Ovis aries: one gene and its partners. The protein of the gene in region 2 purifies or fractionates together with the protein of the main gene of each other region. This does not show direct contact. Links are inferred from orthologs where the notes say so. Each region holds a gene or a part of one and is shown on either strand. Other genes may lie near its edges.

Region 1 (4,833 bases), on a different chromosome or scaffold from region 2:
CGCCAGGTGTGTGAAGAGGAGGCCAGAGGCAGCCAGCAGTCCTGAGACCAATGGGGTGGGGCCCTCAGCATCCTCCACCAGCAGCCAGTGCAGCCGGGGCACCAGGCTCAGGGTCTGGGACAGCCGCACCAGCTCCGCCTTCTGCACCAACCTGCAGGGGGAAAGATGCGGGAGGGAAAGGGTGGCCACCATTTGCCCACTCCAGCAGGCACATATGTCTTCTTCTGGGCCACTCCTAGCACCCTCACGACATTACCCTGACCAGCACCCAAACTCCCTGTTGTTTTTTGGCTGAGTAGCTCAGCTTGTGAGATCTTGGGTCCCTAATCAGGGACAGTACCTGTGCCCCCTGAAGTGGAAGTGCAGAGGCCTAACCACTGGACCACCAGGGAATTCCCTCACCTGCTCTGTTATTTTTTTATCTTTTTGGCCATGCTGCATGGCATGTGGGACCTTAGTTCCCCAACCAGGGATTGAACCGGTGCCCCTTGCGTTGGCAGCACAGTCTTAACCTCTGGACTACCAGAAAAGTCCAAGTCTTTTGATTTCCGGTTCTGCAGACAATACAGAACCGGAGTCTGAGGTGGGGGAGTCTTGTAGACACTGTCTCCTGATGTCTGTCATTGCTGGGCAGAGGGCAGTGCCTTCTTAGACCAAAATGATTGAACCAAGGTCATCCCCAAGCCTCTTGTAAGTTTCTTTGCCCTTCAGATGGGCCTGCCCGCCCCAGGGTTGGCCGTGTGTGCATGGAGAGGGGAGGGTCTTAAGATGCCTAGCCTAGGTGGGCCAGCCATCTGATTCCAGGCAGATGTCAGCAAGTCCTTTTGGCTCCATTCAAAACCACATTCCCCAGTTGGTTTGTATCACTAATAATGCTACATTTTATTTTTTTTTTTAAAGGAACCCATTTAGCACAGTGTGGGGCAGAGAGTAAACACACTAAATAACAACTGGTGTAACTATTTCTAGACCACCATATGACTGAATGGCCAAGTCCTTCTCTACTTTACATTAGTCAAGGGGTTCTCAAACTTCCTCACCAAAGGTTCCCTAAGGAGTCAGAGTGAACTCACTTGGCAAGTTCAGAATTTCTTTGAAACTTTATTGTTGTTATCTTAAAATTTCTCAGGAATTTTTTACACTACTTCATGGCACATCCCTGTCTATATTCTTTATCTTTTGGCCACGCCACATGGCATGCGGGATCCTAGAGCTCCCAACCAGGGATTGAACCCACAGTCCCCATGATGGCAGCCAGGAATCTCAACCACTAGACCACTAGGGAAGTCCTCCCATCTATTGTTTATAGAAAAAAACAATTTCCCCAAGATCTGAGTAACGATGTGGTTCATTTAGCCTGACATTTGGCAGTGCCTTAGCCTGAAGAACATCTCCTGGCCCAGTGCCTCCTGAAACTCATCATCAACCCCAGCCTCTTGGTCCATGCAGATCCTGGGTGAGTCAGAGCCCATACCTGGCATAGGTGGGGGTAACAACATAGATAGTAGGCAGAGCCTCGGGTTCAGGGGGCTGGGCAGGGGCAGGGGGTGGGCGACGGAGATCGGCTTGCAGCTGGGAAATCCTCAGATCCTTCTGCCGAAGCTGCTCTGCTGCTGCCCGCAGGGGAGGGAGGCAGTCACATGGCTGGCCTGGTCCCAGGAAACAGGGATGGGGGCAGAGAACCACAGGATGTTCAGCATCCCAAAGGGCATTAACCTTCCCATTCAACTAACCAATGCGGGGCTCTCCTTACAACTTCTCTAACAGCTTTTCTACACCTAGGGTGGTGAGGAACTCGCTGCCTTAATTAGCAGCGCCTCTCCAACTTTTAACAATTCCATCCATTACAATTTTCATGTGTCTATTAAGCTGATCACCTGCCTCCATCCTTTCTACCTGCTGGGCCTAATTTTGCCTTCTGGAAGCATAACGAACAGTTGATCTCCTAAAACAGGGCAGTCTTTCAAATACCTGAGGATCATGCAGTGGCCCAGTCTCTAAATCCCTGCATAAGAGGCAGGGTTCAATCTGTTCCGTTGGCTGTGTGACCAAAGACTCATTAAATTCATTGATTCCATCACTGGATAAATATTTATTGAATGCTCCTCCTGGGAGGCACTGCCTTAGGTGCCCGGGCTGCAGCAGGAAACCAAACAGACATGGTCCCTGCCCTCATGGAGGTTGCAGTTTAGTGGAGGAGCTGGACACTAAGCAAAGAAACAAATTAATACAATTTATTAGAAACTGTGGTAAGGGCTATGAAGGAAACAAATAGGAGGGAGGCTTAAAAGAGAACCCAGAGTAAGAAGAGTTACTTTTAGCTAAGGTGGTTAAGGAAGGCCTCTATGAGGCGGTGACATGTCAGCGAGCTGAGACCTGAAGGATGAGAAAGAGGCAGCTGGGGAAGAGCTGGGAGAAAAGGTTACAGGCAGAGACAAGTTAAGTGCTTAGATCAACGAGCGTGGGGTTTTCGAGAAACTGTCATGAAGCCAGTGTGGCTGGAGCAGAGCGAGCGAGAGGGATGGGAAATGGGGTTAGAGAGGCAGACGGCGGCGGGATCACGCGGGGCCTGGCAGGCTCCGGGAAGGAGTCTGATTTCACCCGAGGTGCGGCGGGCAGCCGCGGTGCGTTCTGGAGAGGGGAGTGCGCCCAGGGGCCGCAGAGGGGCTGTCGGAGGACCGAGCCGGATGAATGGGGTCTGCGCGGGGCTTCATCCCCAGGGCGGGATGCACAGCGGCGGGATGCCCTTCCGCCGACTCGCCGCACCCCCGCCCCGCCCCGCTCACCGAGCTGCACCAGCGCGTAGAGTAGGCCGGCGATCGACACCAGGAAGTAGGCGAGGAACACGTTCTTCAGCTTCAGCTTCATGGCCGCGCCGCCGCCGCCGCCGCCGGGGCAGGCGGGGTCCTGCGGGGACAAGGGGTTCCCGCCCCCCGCCCGCCTGCCAGCCTGCAAGCCCCGCCCCTGCAGCGGCCCCGCCCCGTGTCCCGCCCTCCTCACGCTCGGCTCGATCAGCTCCCGGGAGCTAGCGCTGGCAGCGCCCGTCTGGGCCCACTTCCGGTCAGTCTGCACACCCCCTTCCCTCTGGGTAATTTCCGGTCCCATTGCCTAGTTCTGGGAACCACGGAAGTGGGTGACGTCATATCCGGCGTGTCAAGCGTGCTTGGCCGGTGGTCAGGAGCCAAGTAAGGTAACGTGGGAGTGGCTTTGAGACCCTCGGCCTTGATCTCCAGTCCCTGTGAGCATATTTTCTTACATTCATTCACTCACCCATCCACCAGTCATTGCACGCAGTGACAGTAGCTCAGTAAATAATTGCTACACGAATGAGTGAAATCTACAGCCCTGCCAAGCCTAGACAGCATATTAAAAAGTAGAGACATTGCTTTGCCGACAAAGGTCCATATAGTTGGACTGCAAGGAGATCCAACCAATCCATTCTGAAGATCAGCCCTGGGATTTCTTTTGGAAGGAATGATGCTAAAGATGAAACTCCAGTACTTTGGCCACCTCATGCGAAGAGTTGACTCATTGGAAAAGATTTTGATGCTGGGAGGGATTGGAGGCAGGAGAAGGGGACGACCCAGGATGAGATGGCTGGATGGCACCACTGACTCGATGGACGTGAGTCTGAGTGAACTCCGGGAGTTGGTGATGGACAGGGAGGCCTGGTGTGCTGCGATTCATGGGGTTGCAAAGAGTCGGACATGACTGAGCGACTGAACTGAACTGATGGTTTCTCCAGTAGTCATGTATGGATGTAAGAATTGGACTATAATGAATGTTGAGCAAGGAAGAATGGATGCTTTTGAACTGTGGTGTTGGAAAAGACTTGAGAGTCCCTTGGATTGCAAGATCAAACCAGTCAGTCCTAAAGGAAATCAGTCCTGAATACTTGTTGGAAGGACTGATGAAGCTGAAACTCCAATACTTTGACCATCTGATGTGAAGAACTGACTCCTTGGAAAAAGACCCTGATGCTGGGAAAGATGGAAGGCAGGAGTAGAAGCGGATGACAAGATGAGATGGTTGGATGGCATCCTTGACTTGATGGACATGAGTTTGAACAAGCTCCAGGAGTTGGTGATGGACAAGGAAGCCTGGCATGCTGCAGTCCACGGGGTTGCAAAGAGTCAGACACGACTGAGTAACTGAACTGAACTGCCAAGCCTGTGCTCTGGTTGTCTCATATAATCCTCACTATAATCCTTTGATAACTTTAATACAATTTAGGATGTCTGTTAGTCGCTCAGTCGTGTGTGACTGCTTGCAACCCCATGGACTATAGCCCCCCAGGCTCCTCTGTCTGGTGGAAGTAGGTAGCCATTCCCATCTCGAGGGGATCTTCCAGGAATTGTACCTGGAACTCCCACATTGCAGGCAAATTGTTTACCGTATGAACCAAGGAAGGCCACAATTTAGAATACTATCACTCTAAAAATTGATGTTGCAGAATTTTGATCATGGCAAAAATGCAAAACTAACAGTAATATAATGAACTGGAAAATAGCAAAGGCATTTCCAGCATTTTATTAATGATCAACCTCTTGTAGATGTTCTAGTATGTCCACTTGGAATCAGGTCCCCTTTCTGGGATGAAGAGTTTACATCGATAGTGTTTTCCCAGCACACCCAGCAGTAGTTTAAGAGCAAACTGCTCTTCAGCATTGTCACAGTACCTGTCCACTTGTATGTAAGATAGACTTTTGTCCCCATCTTACTGGTAAGTAACTAAGATTGCCCCGAATAATGTAATCCCCACTGTGCAATTTTCTATGTGCCTTTTAGGTACCTAACTCCAGGATCCTGTACTTTTTCTTTCCTCTGACCCAC
Region 2 (4,971 bases):
GGATAGGGAGGCCTGGCGTGCTGCGATTCATGGGGTCACAAAGAGTCGAACACGACTGAGCCACTGAACCGAACTGAAGAGTGCAACTCATCTTAAACTTGGAAAACCTTGGCCTCCTCACTTCCACCTGGAATTCCAATCCCAAACCTACATTCAGTTCATAATCCAAACACCACACTTAAGATCTAACTTGCTTATAATTTTAAACTATTAGTTTTAAAATCATTCACCAGAACAGATTAATATACTATATAGAATTATATAGTACCTGCATATAAACACTGTCATCTCTGTAGCAAAATTGTTGATAATCCTAAAGGAACTGTTAAAATTCATGCTTTCTGATTAATCTTCAGGGGGGTCAATACATTTCACAAATATGTCTAAAAGCTATATACTTAAGCAAAACAAACAAAAATGCTTTATTCAAACTTGAGACAAGGTAGTGCCTATTTACCTTCGTATCCCCAGCAGTACTATTTAATAGATGTCTGGTAGATTTTAGGGAGCCTGGCCCAAGCTCAGAGAGAGTTAGGAGGGCCGGGACAGGAATTCAAGTTTACTGATTCCTAGTCCACTACTCTACTTCAGGAAGACAGTGGCTTTTTTAGGTGCACTCAATCCTGCAGTCCAAAGCCTGGAAGACTGGGCTTCCCTGGTGGTCTAGTGGTTAAGAATCTGCCTGCCAATGCAGGGGACATGGGTTCGATCCCTAGTCTGGGAGGATCCCACATGCCACGGAGAAACTAAGCCCATGTGCCTACTGAGCCTGCACCGTAGAGCCCATGAGCCCCAGCTACTGAAGCCCACACACCTAGAGTCCATGCTCAAAACACGAGAAGCCCCTGCTCTCTGCAACTAGAGAAAGCCCATGTGCAGCAATGAAGACACAGGACAACCAAATATTTTTAAAAAGTAAATAAATCTAAAAAAAAAAAAAAAAAGCCTGGAAGACTGAGGAAGGCTCACCACTGTCTTCTCCTTTCTCCCAGTGCCAATCAGAACCAGCAGCTGTGTCCTACAAGGGCAAACTGGGCATGCGTATTTGGGGTGTCTCGTCACTAAGAAGGCTGATCCGTGATCCAGATTTTAGTTAGGATTCCTGCCTATCTAGAAAGGTAACTTAAACACCCTGGATATCTGATGTTCACCTAAAACTATCACGACATTGTTAATCAGCCATATCCCAATACAAAATTAAAAGGTTTAAAAAAAAATGCTTTACTGAGAAAACACTCCCAACTCAAGAACACAAGATAAGTGCTCATTGGTCCCCTTTAACATTTGTAAAAAGCACTATTCAGATGCTGCAGTGATGGAATGACAATAACCAGTCCTAGGCAGAGGGAGTGGAAAGAGCTGTTACTTATATAGATTATTCTTCCCCTGCACCCAGAGTAGCCAAGCTCACATTCAAAAGACAGCTACCACAAAGGATTCCAGTTCCAGTGCTTAGCCTCCAGTTGCATCATTGCTTTAACACTGTCAGCCTTCGAGGCTTTAACCATCTTAATCTGTAAAATAAACACAGGAAGCAGACAACAGTCCTATCCCTCCGTTTAACAGAGGAATACTTTACGAACAAAAATTAGACCTACATATAATATTTCTAGCTATCCCGTTCCTCCTTTTCCCCCTCCCCTAGAGCTTTAAACAACATTAAAGTCATCTTCGACTGAAAAAAAGAGACTAAGCTACCCAGACAGTTCACAGCTAGTACAGCACTTTTATCTTTCTGGAAGCTACTTAGACAAGGCAAGAGCCATTGCTGGGCTCTCTGGGTCACATGGGGAAAAAACATGCTAAGAGGGTAAATTAAGGAATAAGGAAACAAGGCTGAATTGCACTACTCAGTCTAACAAACGAGTAAACGAGAACCCATTACAGGCAAGAGGGCACAGTGCTCCGTGACACAGGAGACACCAGGAGGAATAAAACTGTCACCGTCCTTGAGTTTACCATTTAATAGAGGCACACAAACTAGAATAAAAGCAGAACAAGCTAAGTGCTAAGAGGCATTAAAACTCTGGGAAGGAGTTACCAACCACTTCACTCCGTATTCATGTTAACAGATTAAAACTTTCAGGTAAGGGACACGTGTTGTCCTAATATGATTGAGATCTGTGTAAAGAAGCTAAGGTGGGACATATTCTGCTTATCCACACCTCCTTCGGCTAAGTTAGGCCTACCCAGAAATTGTTCCAAAAAAAAAAAACCCACCAGGTTAACCAAAGAAATGCTTGTATCAGTTAGAGAGGGTGCAAACTGGAGAGAAGTCGACAACAAATGATGTTGACTTAGATTTGTGACAAGATTAAGCAAATCCAGGCCAAGGTTGGGGCCAGGGATCTTCAGCTTCTGAAATTTCCTCCTCTCCATCACCCGCTCCCAGCTCTCCTGCGTAGGTGGACACTAGGGAAGGAACTTCTCTCCAGAGGTGTGCCCACTCTGTGAGAGTACACAGTACTTAAGGGTTGATAACATTCTTGTTGACCAAGGCAGCTTGCTAAGTCCCTAATCAAGAAACCAGGGATCCAGCCTCAGTCAGCCCTTTACTCTGTGTGACCTCGGACTAGTCATCCAAGTGCTGAGTTCCTGTCTTTCCATATTTGTGAAGTCTGGGATTACGAGGAGACTGGGATTGAATTGGATGACCTCTGAGGTCTTAAAGCTTCTTGACCAGCCAGCACACTGAAGCACTGGACAAACAGCTCGTTGAACAAATAGCGAGGGCGGCCACAGGGAACAGGCAGCAGGGGGATCAGACTCGTTGTATAGGCAGGGAAACGGAGGCACGCAACACCCTGACCCAAGGTCACTCCAGTTATGTCCCAGTGGGGGCTGGGCCGAAAGCTCGGGTCTCCAGACCTCCGGTCCCGGGCCCTTTCTCCTTTCGCGGAGCAGAGTGGCGTGGAGGTCCCTGTCCCGGAGAAGAAAGGACTGTGCTCGTGCCCGGGTTGCGAGAGGAGCAGAAGAGGCCTTACCTTTCCAGATCGAGTCCCGCCACCGGTGCCTCTCTCTCAGATCCTTAATCCGTCACACCTCCAAGACTCTTCAGAAGCCCCTCCACTTCTGACCCTCGCGACGTGTCCGAGACCGCCACCGAAGCGTCGATTCCCGCCCCTACCCCGCCCCCTGACTCGCTGGCCAATCGCCGCCCAGAGTTTCTGAGCGCCTGCCGTTCTCACCGCCTCTGAGGGCAGAAGAAGCTTACGTCACTCATCAGGCCTCGCCCGCCAGGCCCTCTCATTTGCCTTTGCTCCACCTTCTCCACAGCCTAGTCTCCTCCTGGCCCAATAACCATGAGAGAGTTCGCCTTGCCGGAAAGCAGCACGCCGCCGCGGCATTTTACGGCGTCGGCGTTGAAAGTCTCTGGAAACGCTCCGACTTCCTCCCCGAAGCGGGGCGAAAGGCGGCGCGATGTTCGGTGCTGGAGACGAAGACGATACCGACTTCCTCTCGCCTAGCGGCGGGTGAGTGCAGAAGCGTAGGGCAAGAGGGCGTGGCTGAGAGCCTGGCAGATCGGTCGGAGGGGTCTCTCTTTTCAGACCTCTTCCCAACTTCCGGGTCCCGAGACCCTTGCCACATTCCGGTGCTGTTCAGGTCCCGGAATCTGGACAGAACTGAAACTGTGCTGAGTCTGTCCACCCGGATTCTGGACCTGACATCTCCCCTGAAGCGCAGTATGACCACAGGATTGGAACTTTTGTTTTCTGGGTCACAGTTTCTCCTGCTGTGAAATGGGTATGATTGTTGATAAAAATACCTAAGAATTTTTATGAGTCCACCAGTGCCGAGATGAGGCTTTCTCTGCTCCGTGGACAAGACGTTGACCCATCAGAATTGGCCCTGGTGGGTCAGCTTCACCATCCTTCAAGGCCTAGCTCGGATGTCACCTTTTCGGTGCTTTCCCTTCTCCCACAGCCCCAGGCAGAATAAACTGCTTTCTCTTTCTTATCCCCACAACTAGGTGTGTTTACGTTTATCTTTGCACACCGAACCTACTAGATTATAAGCCCTAATAGGACACGGACTGTTCAGGCTGTTCCTGCTGTCCAGTCCTCAGCACAGTACCTGGCACATAGTGACTGCTCTAGAAGGTGCCTGCTGAGTGAATGATAACTGTGAAATTGCTCTCGAAAGCTTAGAGCCCATGTAAGAAACTGCAATTGCTGTCCCCTGTTCCCAGTCTATGTATATATGTACACACACACACACACAGACACACACAGGTTTTCAAGAGTCAGGGCCTTGTCTCTTCCAGTAATCATTTTGACCTTTTCTCTTGTAATGTGTCAGTAGACAGCTTGACTGCCTTCAGACTTGTGAACTGCCAAATTCTGATGTTTGCAGAGCCTTTCTTTGAACATCTGTTTAACTACTTCTGGCCTAGAGGATTCCATGGACTGTATAGAAAGAAAGTGAAATCGCTCAGTCGTGCCCGACTCTTTGCGACCCCATGGATAGTAGTCTGCACCAAGCTCCTCCATCCATGGGATTTTCAAGGCAAGAGTACTGGAGTGGGTTGCCATTTCCTTCTCGAAGGAATCTTCCCAACCCAGGGATCGAACCCAGGTCTCTCACATTGTAGACAGACGCTTTACCGTCTGAGCCAATGGATATATTGAGTTGGCGCAGGGACTGAGAGACTTTCACATTCTTTGAATATCTGTTTAACCATTTAAGAAGGTACCCAGGAATGAGGAAAACACCAGTATACAATCCTACGATCCTTATTCTACTAAATGCTTAGAGGTTACAGAGATGATTAAGCTGCTCTGTGTGCTCTCAGATTGCTTCTAGTCCTGGTGGAGAGTTCAATTGACTTAAAATGGCGCTGGCTCTGTTTTGCTCTTAAATAGGATCTTTTGACTTACACAGAGACTAGTTCTATATTAGCCATTCTAAGTTCTCTTTTCATCCTCACTGCCCTGTTCCACCCCTGCCCTCACTTTGGATGGCCTGCATCCA
Region 3 (4,939 bases), on a different chromosome or scaffold from region 2:
GCTTGTGTTCTATTTAAGAAAGATAGAGATAAAAGCCAAAAATAAAAGCTACCACTAATACATCTCCTTTGAAAAAAAAAGGTTAAGGTATACTTTAAGGAAACTATTCATTTTTATTAAGCTGATATACAGTGTAGCTAAAATAGTATCCAAAAGCAATCTTCTAATTTCCAGAGCTTCTGAAATGTAAACAAGTCACTAGACTGCCCTTTCACTCAGGTCCAGTAGGTGTTATCTGTAGTTAACATAACACTGCATTTCCAAGGCCCCATTCTGCAAGATAAACAGCCCGTAACTCCATATTTGAAGGTGGCAATACGTACTTGACTTTTTTTTTAATACCACCTAATTATGGTTAGGCATTATTTAGGGATCACTACTTTTAAGTAAAGCCAAGCAAGTAGGTATTGCAGTAGTCTGTCAAGATAGCTTTTTACTTGTACAGTGATTCATATAGCATACACTGTGTATTTGTCCTATCACCTCCCCATTCACCTGGTACAATATAAGCAAGCAGCTAAGACTAACAGATATAAGTTTTAGACCCTATTTAGATTATTCACATGCCTCAAAAAAGTTCTCAAACTATTTTCTAGCTCTATCAAAAGCTTTATAAATTCCTTCTACAAGCTTACTAAAAAAATTTTATATCAAAGTCTGACATTTAACAAACAGTATTACATTCAAAAGAACTACCCACTTTATTTTTTATTTAAAAAGCTCACCTCTTCTCAATGTTATGTGGCAGCCTAGATGGGAAGGGAGTTTGGGGGAGAATGGATATAGGCATACAAATGGCTGAGTCTTTTCACTGTTCACCTGAAGCTATCACAACACTGTTAATTGGCTATACCATAATACAAAATAGAAAGTTGTTTTTAAAAAAAGCTCCTGGTTTACACTGAGAAATGCTGTTTTATCAACAGCTTGCTTCTCTTTCTTGCCTTAATTTTCCTCTCCAGCAAAAATGATAAAACATAAATTCATTCAAACAAGTTGAAGATTTTAACAAATATTTTGCTACCTCTTCAAAGATGTTTTAAAATTCAACAAGCAGACTCCTAACAAATTGAACGAAGACCTTCAGTCAAATCAGTTTAAAATACACCAATTGTTAATTTCCTTTATATTTACAAAGGTAGAATCTTATTTTATATGTGGCTAGAGTTAGATAAAAATTTAATTTCAGAATTCCTTAATGTCAGCTAAATCACCCTCAAACTTAAACTAAACACCTCTAAACCTTGAAGCTGTAAATCAGTTTCACTGAAGTCCTCTTTCACTGCCATGTAAACCATTGCCTAATTGAGGCCAGACCTGTCAGGCTCAACAGCATCCCGGAAATGACTAGTCTACTAGAGCTGGAAACACATCAAGAATTTGGAATATTTCTCATATTGAAGCAAGGAAAAAAGTTCAAGCAAGATTGCCCATAAGAACAATCAGTATACTGTTCCACAGGGTGAAAAAAGACCTAAAAGCCGTTTTTTTGTTATTCTGGTTATTTCACAAGAATATATCAAAATTCTGTATGTAATTTCAGGTGATGGCCCAATGAACTTACCCTTTCCTTCCAACATACGAACAAGAGTTCGCTACTAAATTCTCATATTGAATGCCTGTCTTGTAATCCAGTTTTTTTCTTCAGCTACTAATACCATCACCTGAAGCATGGCTGGTTTCTTGACTTAGAAACCTGTTAACAATAATGCCTAACACCTAAGCTACTTAATGTTTTTTTTTTTTTTTTACTTTTTACCAAGAAATATAAGCGCAAGCGTGCGCGCGCGCGCGCGCACACACACACACACACACACACACTCTCTCTTTCTCTCTCTCAAATCCCAGTCATGAAAAATTAAGTCACATTCCGGCCATAAACTGAGCAATAGACACTTCCAGTTAGCGTGTGCTTTAGTGATCATGGACAGTGGTATCAGATTAAGTGGTAGGGGGGTTGGGGCTGTTAACAACATACTGTGCATCAGAGCCAATAAGCAGCAGGCTAGAACCGGCAGCAAGAAGGCCGGTCTCTAAAGGGAGCTATAACACAATATCAGAATGCTGGATTTCCGAATGCCATTTTATGGGGAAGGAGGGGAGGCGAACTGGGGATCAAGTGCAATGAAAGGTTCTGACCAATGTCTGAGGCGATGAAACCGAAGACAAGGTCTTGTGGCAACACCAGCTGTCCAGTCTCATCTCACCTCAAACACAACTCAATTTCAGGTCGTTCTCATCAAAGTCAGCCGCTCAAAGGGTGAGGGGGTGGCAGGCAGCAGACGGTGACAGCCCCCCAAGAGACCGGCAAAAAGCCTTTGGAAATGGCAGAGACGGCACACAACTGGAAGGGGCTTCTGCTAGCGAACAGAGAGCACTGCAGCCGCCTTCCCCCTGCCTTCCAGCCCGGGCTGTTAGGTACGAGGTTAGGACGTCGCTGGAGGGTCTATGAACGAATGATAGGAGAAAATGGCAGTAAAGGATAAGGGGGGCTGGAAAGGGCTGGTGCCACCCAAGGAAAAAGGGGAGGAGGACTTCCCTGGACACATCCAGAACAACGCCACCAGAGAGCACGGTCAGCGCCCTGCCAGCGCCTGACACCCCTCTCTCTGGGAAAGCTTTGCCCCCGTCCACACGATCCCAATCCCCAAACACTGCTCCCATCCGACCCTGCTCCCCCGCAAAAATCCCCATCGTGGCCTCCTTTCCCTTCCGCCTCAGGCGCCCCACGCCCTCAAGCTCCCCTCCCCTTCCCGGTCACCCACCCTCCGGGCGGCCCGTCGCCGGCCTCCCCGGCAGCTCGCCCAGACCCCTCCCCCCTCACCTCTCCTCAGCGCCTCCTCGTAGCTGAGGAATCCGATCCGTGACTCCTTGGCGCCCATGCTCCCTTCATCCCCTCGGCCGGGGGTCGGAGCCCGCTCTCGCCCCCACCCCCCTCCCGCCTTCTCCTCGGCGTCCCTGGCTGACGGTGTCGGCGTCCCCCGGTCCCCACCTCCCCCAACACTAACAAGTGCGGCTTCTGCCCCGGCGGCTCCTCCCGGCCGCCGCCACCGCCTCCATGCCGAATCACGTGACCAGCTCCCACCCCGCCCCCTTCCCCTCCCTCTTACTCCGCCCTTCTCCTCTCTCCTCCCCTCCCCTCCCTTCCCTCCTCACGCCCTTTTCCCGCCCCCTCCCTCCCGCCTGCCCCGCCGAGGGTCACCTGACCCGAGGCCGGGGATTGTTCCGGGTAATGGCCGCCAGAGGCCACCCACTCCGCCCCGCCTCACGCTTGCCGCGCGCAGGGCGTGGGGGCGGGGCCAGACCCTGCGCGTAACGCATCATCCCCACCTTCCGGCCAATCCGAAGCCGCGAGGCCCGGGGGCCTCCGCCCGCCTGAGGGGTGGTGACTTCCGGGGCGCTTGAGGCCGTCCTCCCGCCCACGAGTTCTGGTAGTCGCTGGGCGGGGTCGTAACCCTTGACGGTTGGTTTGGTTGTGGCCCAGAGCCGTCTTGAAAGAGAAATGGAATCTTAGGGAGCCGGGGTCCGAGGGGTGCGGTTCGTGAGAGAAAGGAACGGGCAGGAGAGGCATTCCAGACGTTAAGGACATTTTTGATTAGGAAGGAAGTTGTGAAAGGAAAGGAAACTCAAGGGTTTCACTAGAGAATTCTGCATCCTAGTGGAGTGATTCTTAAGGAAAGTGAATCTTGGGACAAATTTTAGAACATCTTCCTTTTAGCTGTATCCCCATCCCCCGACCCTTTGACGCTGGATTTTCTTTCACGCAGAGCCAATTTGCCCCCGGGCGCATCTCCTGCTCTGCGCCTGCCTCTGGTACAGCCTTTGGAAGCTGTTACGCAAAAGCTTAGCTTATCTGCAAGAGTTGCTCCCCACCAGAAATGTGAGCGTTACAAGACTGATGAGAGTACCTTGCGCTTTTGTTTATTATTTTTAAATTGTGTTAAAATATAAATTTGCCATGCTAATCATTTTTAAATATCTCAAGAGCAGAATCACACAGTATTTCCCTTTTTGTGATTGGTTTATTTCATTTAGCATAGTGTCCTCAAGATCCGTCCACGATGCAGCACGGTAGCAGAATGTCCCAGGTTTACCATGTGACCCAGCACTTCCACTTGTGACTGTATAGCCAAAAGAATTGAAAACCCGGACAGGAACAGATAACTTACATCTCCATGTTTATAGAACATTATTGAAAATAACCAAAAGGTAGAAGCAACTCAAGTGTCTCATCAACTGGACAGATGAATAAGTAAATATAGTATATGCCTACAATGGAATAAATTCAGGTCCTTGCTTTTTTTAACTCAGTTTGTCTGGATACGAAAATACATTGAAAAATAATCATTTGAATTAGATTAGATTTAAGGTGATACTTACGTAATTCAGGGACAGCGAAAGGATTTTAGTTCCTAAAGTCAACAGATTATAATATGCCCTGCTAGAGAGAGAAGGCAATAACTCTACTCATCTTTCCTGGCAGACCAGATCAGCAGCCTGGCATTAGTCACAGTGCTGCCCTTTCCAGTTCACTGTGAGGTAGTTAATTTTAAGGCCTCAGATTAGTTTCACTACTAAAAGGCCATGAATAAGGGGGTTGGGAGTGTACTTCAAAGCCTTTAATTTCCAGGTGATTAGTTCGGCTCAAACGCAGGTTTTCAGACAAAACAACTCAGTCATCTTCAGCCTGCAGTAGATTATCATTATTAATGGGAAGTGACTCTTAAGAAAGGGCTCAGCTGTGGGAGAAAAGACCCTCAAGAGTTTAATTACAACATACCTTGGCTTTATTACTGTCCTAAATAATCAGTACCTAAAGGCGACCTTGCTGTAGAAAGGACAGCCCTGGGTGATTATCTACCCACTTGATTTACAGTAGAACTGGAAGCAAATTGTTTTATCTCTTTTTAGTACTTGCCCCACTTGAAAGGTGGGATTG

Evidence for each region. The genes of interacting proteins can lie anywhere in the genome.
Region 1: the proteins of SLC31A1 (region 2) and B3GAT3 purify together in Homo sapiens (co-immunoprecipitation; 3 studies listed by BioGRID and IntAct, with this or other methods). This does not show direct contact. The link is inferred for Ovis aries from reciprocal best matches to the Homo sapiens genes SLC31A1 and B3GAT3.
Region 3: the proteins of SLC31A1 (region 2) and USP32 purify together in Homo sapiens (co-immunoprecipitation; 3 studies listed by BioGRID and IntAct, with this or other methods). This does not show direct contact. The link is inferred for Ovis aries from reciprocal best matches to the Homo sapiens genes SLC31A1 and USP32.

Annotation. Positions count from the first base shown.
Region 1 is NC_056074.1:37,497,487-37,502,319, forward strand, and holds the start of B3GAT3 (galactosylgalactosylxylosylprotein 3-beta-glucuronosyltransferase 3), read right to left. Parts: upstream 3,069-4,833; 5' UTR 2,869-3,068; coding exon 2,787-2,868; intron 1,650-2,786; coding exon 1,475-1,649; intron 152-1,474; coding exon 1-151. UniProt on the Homo sapiens protein: Glycosaminoglycans biosynthesis. Involved in forming the linkage tetrasaccharide present in heparan sulfate and chondroitin sulfate.
Region 2 is NC_056055.1:10,496,714-10,501,684, forward strand, and holds the start of SLC31A1 (high affinity copper uptake protein 1), read right to left. Parts: upstream 3,075-4,971; 5' UTR 1,412-3,074; intron 1-1,411. Other genes in the region: FKBP15 (FK506-binding protein 15), read left to right, coding at 3,421-3,473.
Region 3 is NC_056064.1:12,286,166-12,291,104, reverse strand, and holds the start of USP32 (ubiquitin carboxyl-terminal hydrolase 32), read right to left. Parts: upstream 3,069-4,939; 5' UTR 3,061-3,068; coding exon 3,009-3,060; exon of another isoform or gene 2,883-3,008; coding exon of another isoform or gene 2,825-2,882; intron 1-2,824. UniProt on the Homo sapiens protein: Deubiquitinase that can remove conjugated ubiquitin from target proteins, such as RAB7A and LAMTOR1.